Oryzias latipes: one gene and its partner. The protein of the gene in region 1 interacts with the protein of each later gene in a pairwise test. Links are inferred from orthologs where the notes say so. Each region holds a gene or a part of one and is shown on either strand. Other genes may lie near its edges. The genes, in order: xpo7 and uso1.

Region 1 (3,821 bases):
GCTGTGAGTTACTCTGTGTGACGCTGTGAGTTACTGTGTGTGACGCTGTGAGTTACTGTGTGTGACGCGGCGTGTTACTTGTTTGTTACTTTGTCTGACGCGGCGTGTTACTGTGTGTGACGCGGCGTGTTACTGTGTGTGACGCGGCGTGTTACTGTGTGTGACGCTCTGAGTTACTGTGTGACGCGGCGTGTTAAGGCCCGTACACACCGGGACGAATATTCGGCAGGCGTTATTCGCCAGCGTTTTTCGCCACGTTTTTTGTGTTCACACCCAGGCGATTTTCGCTGACGATGAGCAGAGCGAACATGCAATTTCATTCCCTGACATTAGATGGCGCTTAATGTAAAACAGAAATACTCCTGTACACAAGGTGGCGCTGCGCAACTTTACGCTTCTTAAAGTCGCTTTTCACTCAGAAGAAGAGAGCAAGTATTTACACGCTTGTCAGAATCAAACAAAGAAAACATGAATATTTCAAGCATCAGTAGCTCCAACTAGTGCTTGGTTCGGGGATATTTTAGAATGTCCGTCATTATTGCTTCGCGGCAGTGTAGACGCTACTTGGCGTCTATCTTCTTTGCTGGTATGTGTGCTCAGCAAGGCAGTTTTGTGTTTGAGCGCCCCCAAGTTGTGTTTTACTGTAACTTCAGAAGCTCCAGACACGTGAGCAAAAGCGCCATTCTCATTGGTCGAGTAGATTTCGACGCGACGCGTCGAAAAAAAAACAACGAACCCGAGGCGTTTTTTTTTTTGACGCTTTAACGCGTGGCGTTTTTTCGCGTCGGTGTGCACACTCTCGTTGGTGCCCTTTGTTTAGTCACGAGGCGTTAAACGTCGGCGAAAATCGCCGGCGAAATTCGTCCCGGTGTGAACAGGCTATTACTGTGATTGACGTGGCGTGTTACTGTTTGTTAGTTTGTGTGACGCTGCGTGTGATGCGGCGTGTTACTGTTTGTGACGCGGCGTGTTACTGTGTGTGACGTGGCGTGTTACTGTGTGTTCCCTTAACTCCCGTTTGCACGTACAGCAGCGTGAGGAAGCTGGTGAAGCTCAGCGCTGTGCAGTTCATGCTCAACAACCACACGGTGAGTGTTTCCTCCACGCAGACGGGAGCCTGGCAAGGTCAAAAATCTGACAACCGTCCTGTTTATTCATATATATATATATTACATATACAGTGATCCCTCGCTATAACACGGTTTACTTTTCACGGTTTCGCTACTTCACGGATTTGCATTGTGCATTGTCTTCTGCATTCTGATTGGCTAAAAAGTCACTCCGCTTCTTCTCTACCTGTGCATCAATAACGTTGCAGTTTAATATGTACACGTACGTAAATCAGCTTGCCAAATTTACAACACGTACGTGCAAATTCTCTTGCAATTTCGAGTTTCTCCAAAACCTATAGAAAAATAGCGACAACAACTGCCTATAATTATGTTCTTCTCCTGGACAAACACAGCTGCGCCGCGGGCTTCAATAGAAGAAAACACTGCAGAGCGGAGTCAGGATGCAGCGGCTCAGACTGAAGAGCAGTGAAATACACCTGAGTCACTATTTGTCCAACTGTACTTTGTATTTTTTTCATAATCATTTTAAATTTTCTCCCGTTTAATCCAATTACTCTCGGGTCGCGGTGGGCGGGGCTAATCTCCGCGATTTGAAGCTTTCTGTTCACATTGATGATTCAAATTATTATTTGACAGAACAGTACAGAAGTTATTTGTTGAAAAAACCTTTCTAAATTACTTTTATTTGTGAAACAAATGCTTGAGCCTGTGAAATGGTTTGTTCTTTCTTTTCAATGTATAATAGACTGTTTAATTGTATAATAATTGTAAAAACAAATAGAGGTTTCTACTTCACGGATTTTGCCCATCACGGGTTCTTTTTGGAACGTAACCCCCCCAGACAAAAGTAAAAATGGATTCCAAGTGTCATCAATCAAATATTAAAATATAAAAACATTTTAGAACCGTTTTGTTCTTAACTCTAAGCTCTAAGTTTTCTGGAGTCAAACAGAAGGAAACCAGGAGTTAAATTCAGAATTTTATGGAAAGAAGTTCACCTCTGGGTCCAATCCATTGACTGAGGGACCCCCGCCCCAAACAGGAAGTACCCAAAATCCCACAGACGTCTATAGAGACATAAACAGCTGTTATTCAGTCATTCTATTGGTCAGAAGAACCGTTCTGGGTCTGATACCTTTTTTAACATCTTCTTGATAATCCTCATTTTTTCATGATATTTTTTCTGTAGTTAGTTAATCGTAATGTAAACTGACCAATCAGATGCCTCAATAAAAGTAGGTGGAGCCACCTGGCCCCCACATCAAACGTTCAGAATATTTGACGGATATTGTAACCTGCTTTGAGTGGTAGGGGTGTGGCCTTCCAACAAGCTCACTTCTAATTGTGAGAGTGGTTTCCATAGAAACGGTGACTCTGCCCGATCACTGCTTACTGACAACGTCTGGCTCCAATGTGGCAGCGTGCGTGTTGTGAAAAAATGGTGATTAAATTGACTTCATTTGATTGGAGCTGGAAGAAACCATTCTTCTATGGGGGGGGTCACACTCAATATAGTTCTTAGATGCTGTCAGTGGTTGAAACCAACCAGGTTCTGCAATGGGGGGGTTCTGAAGGCAGAGAACGAGTTTTGGAGCAGAATGGTTCTAAATTATCCAGTTCAGTAAGGACTGTGAAGCGAGCAGAACCATGCGTAGAACCACAGTCCAACTGGGACCCAGAACAGGAACACTTGAGTTTTAGAAGTCAGAGAAAACCCAGTTTCTGCATTTAACTCAGGGTTTTTAAACCCACATTTCATAAGAGCCACAATAAGAACAGACGTTTCTTAATGGTAGAACTTCAGCCGTGGTTCTATTTGATGGAGGTTTGCAGTCGATTAAAGTATCTTAACATGCAGGTGGAGTAGTCACGTCTTGAAACTCCAGGGGGTCAGGATGGAGCTTCAGCTTCAGAAGTGATGTGGAAAAGAACCAGTGAGGGTCTTTAATGGACCGGAGCCTCTGATGTTTCCGGTCAGCTGGAGTTCTAGCATCCTGAACGTTCAGTCATTCTGCATCAGGCCTCTAGGGCTGCTGTCTGTGTGGTTTCCATGACTGATTACCTGGTTCAGGTTGTCCAGCCAATCACAACATGCCAGAGAAGAGTTTGTTGGAAAAAAAGCAGGAATGCGGCCCCCGAGGCCTGGAGTTGCCTGTTCCTGTGTTGTAGATGTTCCAGGTCTGACAGCAGACGGCTGGAAGCGCTGATTCCGGTTCTGATTCCGTGCTGCTTCTCTGCTGCAGAGCGAACACTTTTCCTTCCTCGGGGTCAACAACCAGTCCAACCTGAGCGACATGAGATGTCGGACCACCTTCTACACGGCTCTGGGGCGCCTCCTCATGGTCGACTTGGGTATGTACACATCTGAACGGCGTTTCTGAAGAAGAGGCTGACGTTTCAGATCTGAAACATGACTTTAAAGAATAGTTACATGTTCAGGGAAGTTTTTCTTTATATTTTCACATAGAAACTGTTGGTTTTCTTTAATGATAATAATGGATTAGATTTTCCAGACGCTCAAAGTTCTTCCAGTGTGTCCATCATTCATTCATACTTGGAGATGGTAACTGCTGATGCAGCCGCAGTTGCCCCGGGGCAGACTGGCAGTACCCGCCTCCCTTTTCTGCCATAAGGAACTCACTGTTTTAGTGAAGCCTTCACCCACCAGTGGACCCCGCTCATCTGCTCAACAAACGTTCATCTGTAAAAATGAAAACTGAAGCAAAACTCCTGTTTTCTGGATTTTAA
Region 2 (4,609 bases), on another chromosome or scaffold:
CTTTCAAATTGTTGCTGGTACAAAACTGTTGCAGGTGGAGAATTCTCCCTTTTGTTTTTTCTCAATTTATATTATATTTTTGGTTTTACATTCTGAATGTGTTGGACTTAACATACAATAAACTACTGATAACAGCACAGCTCAGCTGATGAGTCGTGTTTGCTGGGAATTTTCTAAGCGGAGCCTTAAAAAAAAAAGCAAAAATGTTTTGGAGGAAAAGACCCCTACCAGACAATCTTTTTTTTTTAACAAATAATTGCTTCTTATTTTACAAAGTGAATGTAAATTTTGAAGAAAAAAGTTGCTATTTTAAGGGTTTCTCATCTTCAGTGAGAAATTGAGCTCTTCTTTCACAGGCCAACCATTTCTTCATGAAACACTGATGTATTTTGGTAAAAACATGCTTCCCCCCCTGCCATGCCTTTTACATTATCATTATTATGAAAAGAGCGATAGCTTAAACTTTTCTTTCTCTTTTTTGGACTTTGTTCTTCTCTGAGGTATTGTCTTCGGATTGATTTTTACAGTTTGTAAATTGTGATGCACACTTTTGAGAGTCAGCACTCACTGTAAACTGACAGATAATATTTAACTTTCAAATACAATACAATCACTGATGGTTGATATCGTTCTTGTTTATGCAAATCTTACATGCATCTGACGGATTTACTGGTTAAAAGGACCATAATGTCAAGCAGCAGATTACTGCACCTGTCAAAAAAAAAGTGGTCTATTTCTCTGTCCCATTTGCCTTATTAAACTTTAGACTTCATCACTATGTCTATTACTGTGTTCAATCTTGGATTTTCTATTTTGTAGTGTGTTTCTTTTGTGTTTGGGTTATTCACAAATCTGGGTTGTTGGAATAATCACCTGCTGTTTTGAATTGTGCTGTTCATCTGCAATGTTCTGGCTTACTTTTCTATTTTTTGTGCATGTATTCTCCAGCATATCACATGTCCTTATAGCTTTCTTAAAAAAAAAATACCAGGAAGATTTTTAGATTATCTAAACTGGTTGTTTATTTTTTTCAAAACTCAGTTTTAAAGCAATAATCTTTTTATGAAATCATTTTTTTGAGACCAAAAAATAAGTTTATAAAACTCATTTGAAGTCATAGCACTCTATCTGATCATCCTATTACTTGTTTCCAATGCCTAAAAATGTTTTATCTTTTAATATTGTCACCAACTTGTAAAAAAAAAATCACTTTCAACAAGTATTTTAAAGAGTTTTACTTGTCATTATGATGTCTCACAAACATGTTTTCCTCCCTTTCTGCTTTTAGATCACATAGCAAATTGAAATGGAGTTGCATTTTTTTTAATTCAACCAGACAGTAATTATTTGTCTCAAGCATTACATTGGTTTTTTAAATTTATATATAATCAGGTTTTTCGGTCCTTTTAATAGATTTTACATGTTGATTTTGTACAAAAACTAAAAAATGGGCAAATAATACGTATTTTCTTAATATAATAAATTCAATATCATATAATAGTTTATTTGGTCATGAACATAATGGATTATAGTGCTGGATTTATTGAAGTTTGGATTTATTCTCACAGCGACCTCTGCAGTTCACGTGGCAGAAAGATTTAGTGCTCTGGCCCTTTAAGAAAACTGATCACTCGTGCGGGTGAGCCACGTATGGTCTAGTTAGTGCGCATGCGCGTCCATCTCACATCCGGGGTTGGTAGCTGTACATAGTGCCCCATAGTGTAACTCTTCACACTCTCTCTGTCTTTCTTCTATTTTTATACATTTTTTACTTGTGCCACTGAGACAGTGGTCGGAGTCTCTTCTTCAACAAAACAAACCGTCTGGTTGGAAGTCTTCTCTGAGAAGACGCCTGTCAATATGAACTTTCTCAGGGGAGTGATGGGAGGGCAGGCTGCCGGGCCGCAACCCACCGGAGCTGAGACGGTAGGAATCTAGCAATGCTAGCTACATCTGACTTGAATTTTTGCCGCTATGATCCACAAAAAAAACGAAGACATGTATAGAAAAGAAAAATGATAAATTTATGTTATTGGGGCGCATTTTAAAAGATAAGTAACATGGAATCGGTTGATTTAAAAAGCCCTTAAATGTAAGGCTATCACAAGCTAACCTAGCAATAGTCGTCGAACGAAGTATTTTGTCCGTTATTTTTAGTAGTCATAAAACACTTATTCTTGCATTTATAATAAAACACATTTTACTATAATTCACGACAGTTAACAATAAATACAGATCGAACTTTAATGTAAGTTGAAGCATTTTGTTAATTTGGTGTCTCTAGTGGTTATTTAGATTACAAGAAATAAAAACACACTTTCGTGTGCTAGTTTTTTTTAATGAACTCCTTTACATCTGTGACTTCACCCCAGTAGAATGTAGAAAAACGGTTCAATCTTAATTTCCTGATGGGGATTAAATTATGGTTTGCTTAAATTTGTCTTTCTGTTGACTTCCTTTCAATTTTTAATGATATCTTTGAGTGGTGAAGTTATCTGTAAATAAAACATTTTTTTGTATTTAAATGTGATCAAATTAACCTTTGTATTCATTATTAATAATGTGCCATGCTACAGGACTAATCTTTTTGGTTTTTTTTGTTTGTTTTTTTAGCATCAAGCCTTTTATAACAGCCCTTCAACACTAATTTTGGGTGTTTTATAGTTGTGGGGAAAATATAGATATGTAAATAAAAAGTATGACACAAAATTTAGATTATTTTGATTAAGAAATTAAAAATGTGTTCTGGAAAAAAACGTTTGTCTTCTTGTTTGTTAACAGATCCAGAAGTTGTGTGACAGGGTTGCTTCCTCAACACTCCTGGAGGACCGAAGGGACGCTGTCCGGGCCCTCAAATCCCTTTCTAAGGTATAGAATTAACACAAACTCTGCAGATGTACATTTAGGTAGGGAATGTAGGAAATCTTTGTGTTTGTGCTTACATTAAGGCTTCAATGTCTTATCTATGAGAGAGCTGAATTATTGTTTTTTTTGTCTTAAATAAGAACAGATTTTATTTTTAAATTGGCCGCCACCACTTTAAGATGCTTGCTTTAATGCTGACCATCTTATAACACATCTGCATCTTTGTATGACACCATTAAGGATTTGATGCTCCTCAGGTATTCTTCTAGCATGAGCTGGTTCTAAGTTGGGCTCAGAATTGGCAACTTGATTCCTATGGAATGAAAAAAGGATGGATTTTATTTATTTATGTATAAATCATACAGAAAAATGAAGGTGTCATAGAGGAATTTACAGGTAACTTGTTGAATTTTATTTTCCTCACTAGCTTAAAGAAAAATTAATATACGGAAAGTGTTAAAAGGCATATTATAATAAAATCATACTGTACCAAACGTCAAAGGATGTAGGTCTAGTGTGTTAAATGTTCTTAGTTTTTCAGATAAAATCTCTGAATTTAACCTTTGACCTTCAACCTTTTTTTTTTATTTCTTACTGTGAAGCAGTTTATTTGTAAAAATAAATAAATAAATAAGAACTAAACTCAAGAAAAACATTTATAAGCCTTGATCAATAATTTTAGTAAATATTCTTTATTAAATCATACATTTCATTGGACTCTGAAAGCATTTTTTCTTGTAGACTTAAGTTGTTTTTTCTAAAGTTGCAGAAACAAAATCCATTATTGAGGAATCCATTTTTTCTTTTTTTTGTAGAAATACCGCATGGAAGTTGGCACACAGGCCATGGATCACCTGGTTACCATATTGCAGACTGACAGGTATCTCCTTGTTTCTAGATTGAAGCCCTTTTTCTCACATTATAGATCAATAAACGACAATTGACCTGTAAAATAGAAGTCGGGCTGAAAAAAAAAAAGATATTTTCATTTTTTGAAAATATTTTAATTTTTCCCCAAATGCTCCAGATCTGACTCTGAAATCCTTGGCTATTCTTTGGACACACTCTACAACATCATCTGCAATGATGAGGAAGAAGAACAAGGTACACAACCTATAAGGTTTTGGTGTTTTTATTTTGTCCTGGTACGATTAGATTAATTTTTATGTCTATAATAACAATAACTCTATAGCAATCCTTTTGGATTCCCGAAATTCAAGTTCATTGTACTTAATAGAGAGCCACCACTAGCAATATACTAATTCAGTATTATTTAATCGGTTTTGATAAGTTCACAACTTGATTTCATATTGATTTATATTTCAAATTTTGATTCAAAACTAATTGTATTTGGAAACAAATATTGATTTTCTGAAGGGAAATTGATTTGTTTTTATTAAACGCAGCTTTACTGAACAGTGTTGCGTTTGCATGAGCACAAAGCTGGACGTTTGTATCAGTTTGTGAGCCTTCGGTCTGCGTTCCTTCCTTTTTTAATTACTTCCACTAGTATTGAATGTGTTGTATAAAGATTTTCCTGTTTCTCTTCTCTTTCATGTTTTAACCCCACAGATGAATCAGAAGGTAAATCTTTTGGATTATGCATGATGCCAGCCTCTTTAACCACGCCGTTCATCCATGCACATTGGTGCCCCTGCAGTGGCCGACATTAGTTGGGGGCATTTTTACTCAAAAACCTTTGAACTTCTGTGTGACTTGAGACGAGTAGACGATTAATTTTATT

Evidence for each region.
Region 2: the proteins of xpo7 (region 1) and uso1 interact in binary tests that used the Homo sapiens proteins (3 or more experiments, as listed by UniProt). The two-hybrid records come from large-scale screens. The link is inferred for Oryzias latipes from reciprocal best matches to the Homo sapiens genes XPO7 and USO1.

The regions. Positions count from the first base shown.
Region 1 is NC_019870.2:696,567-700,387, reverse strand, and holds part of xpo7 (exportin-7), read left to right. Parts: intron 1-1,024; coding exon 1,025-1,088; intron 1,089-3,316; coding exon 3,317-3,425; intron 3,426-3,821.
Region 2 is NC_019859.2:16,828,176-16,832,784, forward strand, and holds the start of uso1 (general vesicular transport factor p115), read left to right. Parts: upstream 1-1,690; 5' UTR 1,691-1,860; coding exon 1,861-1,926; intron 1,927-2,781; coding exon 2,782-2,868; intron 2,869-3,680; coding exon 3,681-3,745; intron 3,746-3,892; coding exon 3,893-3,969; intron 3,970-4,437; coding exon 4,438-4,449; intron 4,450-4,609. UniProt on the Homo sapiens protein: General vesicular transport factor required for intercisternal transport in the Golgi stack; it is required for transcytotic fusion and/or subsequent binding of the vesicles to the target membrane.